Diceros bicornis minor: one gene and its partner. The protein of the gene in region 2 purifies or fractionates together with the protein of the main gene of each other region. This does not show direct contact. Links are inferred from orthologs where the notes say so. Each region holds a gene or a part of one and is shown on either strand. Other genes may lie near its edges.

Evidence for each region. Proteins that work in one complex are often made in the same cells at the same time.
Region 1: the proteins of OTUD1 (region 2) and AIFM1 purify together in Homo sapiens (affinity purification with mass spectrometry; 3 studies listed by BioGRID, with this or other methods). This does not show direct contact. The link is inferred for Diceros bicornis minor from reciprocal best matches to the Homo sapiens genes OTUD1 and AIFM1.

What each region holds. Positions count from the first base shown.
Region 1 is NC_080781.1:118,854,779-118,860,347, reverse strand, and holds the start of AIFM1 (apoptosis-inducing factor 1, mitochondrial), read left to right. Parts: upstream 1-1,992; 5' UTR 1,993-2,103; coding exon 2,104-2,209; intron 2,210-5,569. UniProt on the Homo sapiens protein: Functions both as NADH oxidoreductase and as regulator of apoptosis.
Region 2 is NC_080775.1:22,912,770-22,918,338, forward strand, and holds OTUD1 (OTU domain-containing protein 1), read left to right. Parts: upstream 1-1,928; 5' UTR 1,929-2,295; coding exon 2,296-3,738; 3' UTR 3,739-4,991; downstream 4,992-5,569. UniProt on the Homo sapiens protein: Deubiquitinating enzyme that specifically hydrolyzes 'Lys-63'-linked polyubiquitin to monoubiquitin.

The sequences.
Region 1 (5,569 bases), on a different chromosome or scaffold from region 2:
TCAGTACAATGCCTGTTCTTTGTGTTAGCTGTGAATCATTAAATGATGTCTTTCAAATATAGCTGGTTGTTTTCATAGGTACCTGATCATCATGATTTTGACAGTGTTTTCCAAAGCCCCTTTCACCAACAGATATGATTAACTTTGTATTTAATCAATCCATCTTTATTATTGGCTTTTAGAAATAGCAATAGATATCCATGTCTGTAAGACCTTTAAGATATTAAATAAATATAAATAATTTTTACCTTATTGTGGAATTGATATTTTCAATATTTATCCCCCAAAGCATCCCTGGGTAAAAAGTCACCCATCACCTGCACTTCTGAATATTAATCTATTCGTAACGAGTAAGGGAACCCTAGGTCATTTTCACCCAATAAAGTCTGTTTCCTGGGTTAAACTTCCCAAATAATGCCTTTGTAATTTCATTCTCTATCCCTAATCCACTAAAAAAAATAATAACTTCATCATCTACAAGATTAGGGCCAAACTCTTTTGCCAGTTCAAATCTGGCCCCACTGTATTAACCTACCTTTATTTACTTGCTGCCATTGTCCCCTGAAAGTGTGCTGGGTTCTGTTTGTTTTATACCTCCAAGCCTTTTAATTTAAACAGCATGGTGCTTCCTCTAAGATACTTTATAAATATTAGTTCATTTAATCTTCATAACAACTCTTTGAGATTGGTAGATGAGGAAAGTGAGGCACAGTTAAGTGACTTGCCCAAGCGGCAGAGCCAGGATTCAACCTGAGGCAGACAGGATCCAAAGTCAACGGTCCTTAACCACTGAAAACATTATCTTTGGTCTCAATGTATTCACCATCTGAAATATCATTCCTCCTCCTCCACTGTCTACTTGAATTTTACTACTCATCCTTTAAGACAGCTCAAGTAACACTTCTTACATGAAGTCCTTCCTTAGCTATTCCATCCCATACTCTGTTCTCTTGCTCTGGCACTACATCAGATATTATTTATTATTTAAATAACCAGTATATGTCATCTCCCCAACTGGACAATGACCACTTCCTATACTTTTCAGATGCCCCCGAGCCCCTTTCATAGTATAGGCCAAGTAGTAAGTGCTCAATAAATACTTGTTAAATGAATATGTAACCCAAAACCTTGAACAAGGCACGTTATGTTTTGCATACAGCGAAAAATTTCTTTCCAATTTAGCTTACATTTGATAGAGTCAAAACACCTATTTACACTCAGCCCCTCATCCTACTCCTCCAACTCTGCAAGTTCCGCTTAGGATTTCACTCACAGAAAGTCTGTGAAACACGAACTCTTTTTGCCAGGATCCTGCTCTCAAGCACGGAAGCCCTAATAGTAGAAGACTATTCGCAGCACCTGGTACAGCATCTAGGACACAGAACTGCACAATATAAAAGCGATATGGGAAAAGAGAGCGCGGAATGATTACTTGTCCCGGAAACAGGGGTTGGGTGGGAAAGTGTCAGCAATTTATAAAAGACAGAAGCCCATTCCGAATCTGGGAAGACAGGCGCCCGGGCTCGGACCTATGGAAAGTCTAGAAGTGGTTCAAAGCCAGAGAATCCGGAAATCTTAGGGCCTAGTAGCTAGTGGCCTAAAACAGAACAAAATGCGGTGCTGGGGCCACACCTCCCAAAGGTGCTGTTATCAGTTCTCGCCATCGATACAGCCGCAGCACCGGCCACAACCGCCAGGTAAAGCGGCCCCACAGGTCCCTCCTTGGACAGCTTTCTGAACTCGCTCAGCGAAACCCGTTGCCACCAACCCGCGAAAACTCGCAAGCAATCCCTCTCTGGGCCTGTGCAAGTGTGCCGGGAGCTGGGCGCATGCGCAACTCCTCTCACCGTGCAGGCCAATCGCAATGCGGTGCTGAGTACTACGCCTGCGCAGTAGGCCTCCAGTCGCGCTTCCCCTTCCCCTGCTCTAACAGGCCGGCTTAACTGTCCAATGCCCACCCGGAGCTGGGAGGCGGAGCCTGCGTAGAGTGCGTGTGAAGGGAGAACTGGCGGGGAGCCGGCTGGGGCCCACGGTGTTTGACCCGTCGGTCGGTGCGGGAGACGAAAGGAAAGGAGGAGGAGGTCCAGAGTAGCGGTTGCCGAAATGTTCCGGTGTGGAGGCCTGGCGGCGGGTGCTTTGAAGCAGAAGCTGGCGCCCTTGGTGCGGACAGTGTGCGTCCGAGGCCCGAGGCAGAGGAACCGGCTCCCAGGTGACTGACTGACCCATCCCGGGCAACCCCCACCTCGAAGACCAAGGGCCTGGGCTCCATGGGCTCCCTGTGCCTCACAGCCATCCCCCCACCCCCCGGGAAAAACTTCACACACTCACAGTCTCGTGAATTCCGACTTGGCGGGATCCAAACCACGAGTTTCATAAGCCATGCTGACCTGACCTTCAAGGGAATTGAACCCAGTAGTCGGCTTGAGGCCTTTTCCTGGGAGGGTTTGTTGTTCAGGGATAACAGAACAGCTGGCTGCCTCGTATTGTCCAGTGCCACCTCCTGGCCATCCCCAGGCCCCTTTTTAGAGCCATGAGGTCAAGTAGACTGTCATTTACCGATTGTGAGACTTTAAACAGGACATTTAAGCCCTACACCTCAGTTCCTTCTGTAAAAGAGGATATTACCTACTCTACCTTCCAAACCCCAGATAGGATCCATAGATTTGAGAGCCCTGTGAAACAGAGACAGTGCAGCGCAAGTAAGGAGTCGGTCTGTTGTGAGCTAGACACCAGGAGAGTTGGCCCAGAATTAATTTGAGATGTCAGTGTAATTCTTGGTGGTCTTGAATGCTTCCAAGAAACAGTTTGCAGAACATATTGTATTTGCCCTCCATGGAGTTGTTTCACCCAATTTTAGAGCTGGAAGGGATTTTGTGGTAAAGTTCAACCCACTCATTTTATAGATAATAAACTCAGGCACCGAGAGGTGAAATTACTTGCCCAAGGTCACATAGCTAATTAATAGGTACAGCAAAGGATAGGTTGCCAGTCTCTAGGCCCTTAATCCCCTTGCCACAGCTCCACATTGCTTCCTAAAGTTTGACCTCAAAAGCTTAAGAATGCATCTGGTTCCCTTTAGCCCATTGTGCGTCAGATATCCACGAATTTATCTGAGCATATCTTGAGCCTGCTCATTGTCAACCTACACAACCTCATGGGAGTAATGAATTATCCACCTGTAGGAGGTGCTGTTTATTTGGTTTTTGTTTTTGTGGGGTTTTTTTGATCAATAATCTTTGACCACCCAAGAATATTCACATTTGCAATGTCAGAGGTTATCCTTGAGGCCTTTCCAATGTGGAACCATCTTCTGGGTGCTTTAAAAAGTGGAAAGTATTTCCCTTAGATTGTTAGTGTCCTTGCAAATGTGCATTTGAACAGTTTTTCTAGTTGCTGTGCCTCAAGAAAATGTTTTCTAATGGGTATATCTGAGGTATGTCCTAAGACATATTGTTCTTGGAACTTAAAAACCCCTGCCTTAGCTTTTAAATTAATACCCTGTCTATGATGTCATCTGTATGGGTTTTGTGCATTGAAATGATGGTGCTCTATGCAAGTTGCACAGAAATTTACACAGAAACTTAGGTAAGCTGAAGATTTTCATCCACACTGGCCTTTCAAACTTTGTGTACTTAATTTGCCTAAAACTCACACTTTTTACCAGCATTCTGAAGTCCGAGCAAAAGTTCTCATCAATTATATGTGGATTTGCAAAGTTAAATTGATTTCTTAGACGTTTGAAGGTGGTTGGTGATATTTAAACTACTGAAAAATACAGACTCAAAATGTTTTTTTCCGTTGTATGACTTTGTTTGAAGGCAGTCTGCTGTAGAATATATTCTGACTTCTTGACGTATCTCTCCAGCTCTTTGTATACACTTATTCTTTGCCCTTTGGCCAAGCACCAGAGTATAACATCATATGATGCCTTTAGAAATGGGTGAGGGTGGGGTTACAATTTCAAAAATAAATGATTCTATCATTTTAGGAATTAACCCTGTTTTGTGACTTGATTACTAATTGCTTTTAATCTGATTTCTTTTTCACATGGTAGCATCTACCATATGGTTTTTGCATGGGTGGGGAAGAGGCAGTTTGTTTATATGCCGTTTCCCCCACCATTTTTCCCTTCCTCCCCCCCAATTCTTTGCCAGGATGTTAGCAAACTTTAAACCTACCTTGAAACTGATTTCATCCACATCTGTCACCATTTGTCAGGTTCATTTCCATTATATGTTACCTTTTGCCTTAAAATCATAATTGCTACTATTTGTTTATTTACTTTATTTGGATGCTCTGCCTCTTTCCAGAAATGATTGAAGGTAATTAAGAGTCATGACTTTATGTCTGCATTCAACACTGAGGAGCGGATAGATCAGGAAATAGATATTTTCTGCTCAGTAGTATTTTATTTGGTCACCAGACATTGTGCTGCCTGTGTGATCAAACTTATCACCGACCCCTGACCTGAGGGTCAAATGATTGAACATTTTTCTCTATTCAGAATCCTTCTCACCTCCTTAAAAAGGAAATTGGACTCCTTGTGGGCAAGGATCCAGACTTCCTGGACACTGCCAAATGACACTTCTTTCCTTTGAAGCCGAGAAGATGAGCCTTTGCCCACTCTTTCTCCTGAGGCAAAGCTTTCCAGAAGAAAATCTTTGGCAAGTCAGCCTTTTCTGCAACCAGTTAATATGTTATATTTTCTAGACATTTTCTAACATTTTAAGGGAGTTGCTTCATATTGTAACTTTCTTCTAGATCATGTTTCTAAAAGTTGCCTAGTTGTATAAATCGAATGGAGGGCCAACCCCAAAACCTACTGAATGAGAATCTCCAGGAGAGATCCTTGAGAATTTATATATTAACAAGCCCCTTGATGTAATTCATATGATCAGGCAAGTTTGGGAAATACTGTTTTGAATGAATAATGACTCTTTCCCTTCTGTTCCACTGACCTAAGGGTTGAAAAAACAGACTGAGCAACCTTAAGTCTCTTGTGATTTGTATCAAGCCCATTTTCTGATATTCAGAATAGTAGCAGCCATTCTTCCCTCCTAAGCTATACACTACCTGAGGACAGGGATTATGTCCTATTTATTTTTGTGCCCTCAGCATTTTTTTTTAATCTTTTGTGTGTGTGTGTGTGTGTGTGTGTGTGTGAGGAAGATCAGCCCTGAGCTAACATCCGTGCTAATCCTCCACTTTTTTTGCTGAGGAAGACCGGCTCTGAGCTAACATCTATTGCCAATCCTCCTCCTTTTTTTTTTTTCTTCCCCAAAGCCCCAGTAGATAGTTGTATGTCATAGTTATACATCATTCTAGTTGCCGTATGTGGGACCCGGCCTCAGCATGGCCAGAGAAGCGGTGCGTCGGTGCGCGCCCAGGATCCGAACCCTGGCCGCCAGTAGCGGAGCGCACACACTTAACCACTAAGCCACGGGGTCGGCCCTGTCCTTAGCATTTTGTACAGTCTCTGGCCCATAGTAAATACTCAGAGAATGAACCCCAAGTACAGTGAAGGACTTAACTTTGCAGAACAGGGTTAGATTTTTTTTTTTTTTTGTCA
Region 2 (5,569 bases):
GTTCAGGATTTAAATTTTAATAGGTTCCCTGTAGTCCTCCAGGCTCCTGTTATGCTAGCTTTGCTAGGCACACAGTGGGTACTCAGTGAATATTATCTGAGGATTATTATTATTTTTTTTTGTGAGGAAGACCAGCCCTGAGCTAACATCCATGCTAATCCTTCTCTCTTTGCTGAGGAAGACCGGCTCTGAGCTAACATCTATTGCCAATCCTCCTCCTTTTTTTTTCCCCCCAAAGCCCCAGTAGATAGTTGTATGTCATAGTTGCACATCCTTCTAGTTGCTGTATGTGGGACGCCGCCTCAGCATGGCCAGAGAAGCAGTGCATTGGTGCCCACCGGGGATCCGAACCCTGGGCCGCCAGTAGTGGAGCGCGTGCACTTAACCGCTAAACCACGGGGCAGCCCCTGAGGATTATTTTATTGTTAATTGTCTTGTCTTCTGTTTCAGAACACCAGCTACCGAAAGGCTACAGGCAGAGTTCAGTGCATTTAATACGCAGAGCAACAGATACCCCCAAATCAGTGATGAAATCTAAGTAATTCCCTTTTTCTAGTTAGCCAATGGCGGCTACAAGCTCCCAATAGGGTGTCACCAGAAGCTGAAAAGACGGTGAGCCATAAACTTAGTTGTCTTACCCCCTCCTGTGCTGACATACCTTACAGGTTGGAGTGGCCCATGTAAACGGCTGCCGCTGGGATCCTGCCAGTAGTAACCCCCATGGCAAATACAAGCCCTGGCTAGGGTCAGGAGACGGATCATAATTCTGGCTTCTCCACTAAATGAGAATACTTGGGAACTCGTTTTCCATTAATTAATTCGTTCAGCAAATATTAATTCATTCCAACTATGCGCCAGGAACTGTGCTAAGGACATAACTGTGATAGCCAACAGGCCGAGGTCTTTCCATTGCTGGAATCTGCATTCCAGCGGAAGGGTCGGGGGAGGCATATACCATAACCTATGGCTATTTCCCCACCTCTAAAACGGTGGAGTAGGCTTTAGGTTCAATTTAGATAGTTAGGGCCTGCTAATTTAGCATCTGATCAAAGCTTCGAGTATAGCACAAGCGGGCCGCTACCAGTCAGCACGCCGTTGCTCGTGCGAATATTGCAGCTTTCCTTTACACAGCGGGTACTACTAACACAGCTCGGCAGAACTGTTGTCAACATGCTACCCCGCCCCAGAACGCAAACCCGACTCGCTGCTCTGCCTCTGACCTGTGGTTAGCAGCCACACCTATTTTCAAAAGGTTGGAGGCGGTATGGTATTTGGTATTCCGAAAGGCTGTTTGAAAAATTTCCTTTGGCCCAAATCATGTATTTGCTAGTCGACATGGGTTAGGGGTGCAGGAAAGTTGGTTTCAGTTTAGCAGGGCAGCAAGGTGCTGGGGAGGATAGGTGGCGTCAGGCGACCTTAACATTTTGACGTGGAACTGAATCAAAAAGACGGCACTGGTGAAGAGAAGCAGGAGCAGTGGCTCCCGACTAGGCAGAGGCCGTGCAGGTTTCAAGGCAGCGCTCCGTCCGCCACACCGAGCCTGGAAGCTTCTTTCCAAACGCACGCTTTCAAAGCATTCTAGCCGGCCCTAGGCAGCGCCCACCCCGCCACTATCCGCAGCAGAGCGCACGGCTGCGCGGCGCCCAAACCTGCAGCAGGGCTGCAGGAAGCGGCCAGAAATCCCGTCACTGCGCATGCCCCAGGGCCATCGCGCTCTCCCGCAGGTGCCCCGCCCGCCGCCAGCGCCGCGGGCCACGCCCATGACGTCCGCCGGCCGGGGCGGGGCCTGGGCCTGGGGGCGGGGCGAGGCGCGCGCTTGAATGGGGCGCCGCGACGAGCCGCACATTCCAGCGGGCCCACGTGACGCTGCCGCGCGGCCTGAGGTAAACAACCGCGGCCCCGCCTCCGCGCCCCTCCGCGCGCCCTGCTCTGCTCCTCGCCGGCGGGACGCGCTCCAGCGGGGCGGGCGGCTTCCTCCGAGAGTCCCCAGCGGCCGGCGCGGGCCGGAGCAGCGGCAGCGGGCGCGGCGCCCCGGGTCTGCGGGCCGAGCGCGCCGGCCGGGGTCGAGCGCGCGGCCCCTCCCCGCCCTCCCCCCGCGCGCTGTGGCGCAGCAGGAATTTGGCGGGGACCCGGGCGCTATTTGCGGCTCTTGACGCGCCGGCGGCCCTCCGGTCGTTTCTATTCTCGGGGCACTGGGTCACTGCGCTCGGCCGGCCCCCTCCCCCGGGCCCGGAGGGTGTGTCCCCCGCAGCGGGGCTCGCCGCGCCTATAAGGGGCCGAGCGGCGGGCAGGGACATGCAGCTCTACAGCAGCGTCTGCACCCACTACCCAGCCGGGGCCCCGGGGCCCACGGCCGCAGCCGCCGCGCCGCCCGCCGCCGCCGCCAGCGCCCCCTTCAAGGTCTCTCTGCAGCCGCCCGGCCCCGCCAGCGGCGCCCCGGAGCCGGAGACCGGTGAGTGCCAGCCCGCCGCGGCCGCCGAGCCGCGGGAAGCCGCCGCCGCGCCCGCCGCCAAGATGCCCGCTTTCTCCTCCTGCTTCGAGATGGTGGCCGGGGCCGCCGCCCCCGCCTCGGCCGCCGCCGGCCCGCCCGGCGGGGCCTGCAAGCCGCCGCGGCCGCCGCACTACACGTCCACGGCGCAGATCACCGTGCGGGCGCTGGGCGCCGACCGGCTCCTGCTGCACGGGCCCGAGCCCGGCGCCGCCGCGCCCGCCGCGCCCCGCGGCCGCTGCCTCCTGCTGGCCCCGGCGCCCGGCGCCCCGGTCCCGCCGCGCCGCGGCTCCTCGGCCTGGCTCCTGGAGGAGCTGCTGCGGCCCGACGGCCCCGAGCCCGCGGGCCTGGACGCGGCCCGGGAGGGGCCCGACAGAAACTTCCGACTGAGCGAGCATCGCCAGGCCCTGGCCGCCGCCAAGCACCGCGGCCCCGCGCCGCCACCGGGGAGCCCGGAGCCCGGCCCCGGCTCGTGGGCCGAGGAGCGCCCGGCCGAGAGGAGCTGCCGGGGCTGGGAGCGGGCCGGCGAGCGCGGCGACCCCCCCGGCGCGGACGAGGCCCGGCGGCCCGACCCCGAGGCCGAGGCGCCCCCGGCCCGGAGCGTGGAGGCCGCCCCGAGCGGCGCGGCCGAGGCGGTGGTCGTGGCCAGGTCGGATCCCAGAGACGAGAAACTGGCCCTGTACCTGGCGGAGGTGGAGAGGCAGGACAAGTACCTGCGCCAGCGGAACAAGTACCGCTTTCACATCATCCCCGACGGCAACTGCCTCTACCGAGCGGTCAGCAAGACGGTGTACGGGGACCAGAGCCTGCACCGCGAGCTGCGGGAGCAGACGGTGCACTACATCGCCGACCACCTCGACCACTTCAGCCCCCTGATTGAGGGCGACGTGGGCGAGTTCATCATCGCTGCTGCTCAGGACGGGGCCTGGGCCGGGTACCCGGAATTGCTGGCCATGGGGCAGATGCTGAATGTGAATATCCACTTAACGACTGGAGGGAGGTTGGAGAGCCCCACGGTGTCGACCATGATTCACTATTTGGGCCCGGAGGATTCCCTAAGGCCTAGTATTTGGCTGAGTTGGCTCAGTAATGGACATTATGATGCGGTGTTCGATCACTCCTTTCCCAATCCAGAGTACGACAGTTGGTGCAAGCAGACTCAAGTGCAAAGAAAACGCGATGAAGAACTTGCGAAGTCCATGGCCATATCCCTATCCAAAATGTATATCGAACAAAATGCATGCTCGTGAAGTGTCTGAAAACCTACACCCTGGGAGAATTGCATACGTAATTTGTGTTTGGAGAATTATATGAACTCGAATCAGGGTAATAGCACTTTTAAACTTCCTAGTAGATTTACTGTAGGTGTGATGCCTTAATCGTTTTTTTGAATGTTTTCTCAGAGCTGAAGGTTGCTGGGCACCTAAATGAGGTTTCATGATAGCTTTGGGTGATCTTATTGCTATTTATAATTTGCTGTATAAAGTTGGCACTACATAAGTTGCAAGCTGATTTCTCATAGTGTAAATTTGTTCATTCCTGGTAATCTATTTTCTATAAAAATGTATTTTTGCACAACATTTTTAAAAATTGGTGTACCTTCACCTATGATGTGTTCCATTTTGACAAACAGCTTTCCGGCATAAATCCAGAGAAGTGCTTTATATGAAGTTTATTATTTTGAACAGAGTTTGTGAATTTAGTAGTTATTTTATGTTGTTGAATTTGAATTTTGCAGTTCTTAGGTAATTATTTCAAATGGATATTGATGCATTCGTGTTACCAGATGATAGGCCCATTCCATTTTGATGAAACAAACAGATTTGTTTTGGAAATCATTATTTTTCTAGAAATGGTCAACGTTTTAAAGAGAAATACTTAAGGGAAGGTTGTGGGAAGAGTTCTTTTTTTTCTTTAAGGGATAGTACCAGCTCTTACTTGAATGAAAGTCTGATATTTGCTGACAGCAGAGTGATTATTCTGTACTCTGGTTGATGTTTAGAGTAGATTGTCTGGTGCTTTGAATTGTTTTTATTTATATTTGTCATTTTGTTATAAATGAATTTTAACATGGTCGAAGACTTTGTGACAAGATAAGCCGCCTGCTTTATATAGCATCTTGGATTCAACTAAGAGATTTAAAAATTAATAGCGTAAATGCCTGGAACCAACCTTGGCAGTTATTTTATAGCAGGAGAATACTGTCTTAATATTTTGTTCCTTTTAAATTCTTTCAGAAGGCAAAGTAGGATTGCCCTGTATTATGTACAAATAAAAATGTCTGTAAACAGAGCTTGTATGGTTTGCTGGGTCAAACAGTGTTCCCAATTGAAAATATCTCATTTCCACTTTAACTACTTTTAGTCATATTTATTAAGTAATGCAGTTTGTACTTTTTTATTTTGTAACATTTTGTGATTTTTTTTGTACAATATTGTATTTGTACAATAGAGCAATTCTCAGCTGATGGAATGAATGAATAAAATGCATAATTTTACTTTTACGTCTTTTTGGCTGAAGTGGTTTTTAAAATATAAAGTGACGTCTGTAGGAACGTTTCTTACATGTATACAATATTTTATGTGAGAAGATGTCACAATTAGGAGAGAGGTTTCTTAAGTTCTCACATGAACAGGATAGGATAATTAGTAATTTCAAAAGATAAGTCTCAATGAAATATAATTTAAAGGAGTAACTCAGGAAATTGCTCTCATTATTTCTAATTATAATTGCTATCTAAAATTACAGATGTAACCATTGGCTAATGAACAGGGAAGTACAAGTATTGTGTTAACTAACACAATGTGTAATTAAATATCATAGTTTTGTGTTCCACTCGCAGAACAGATTTTAATGTTTTAAAGAGTAACCAATGCCCTAATTTTCATCCAGTCTGGCTTCCTGGGAATTTATTAATTTTAATATGTGTTATCAGATTTAGTTGAGAATTGTACCTGTATATGTAATGCTGAGTGTTGTTTATTACAGACTAGAAACAGCTAGTTTGGATTTTTTACTTTTCAGTTGATTTAGATGTCATGGTTATAGACACCACTGAGCTTGAGTTCATTGCTTAACTGC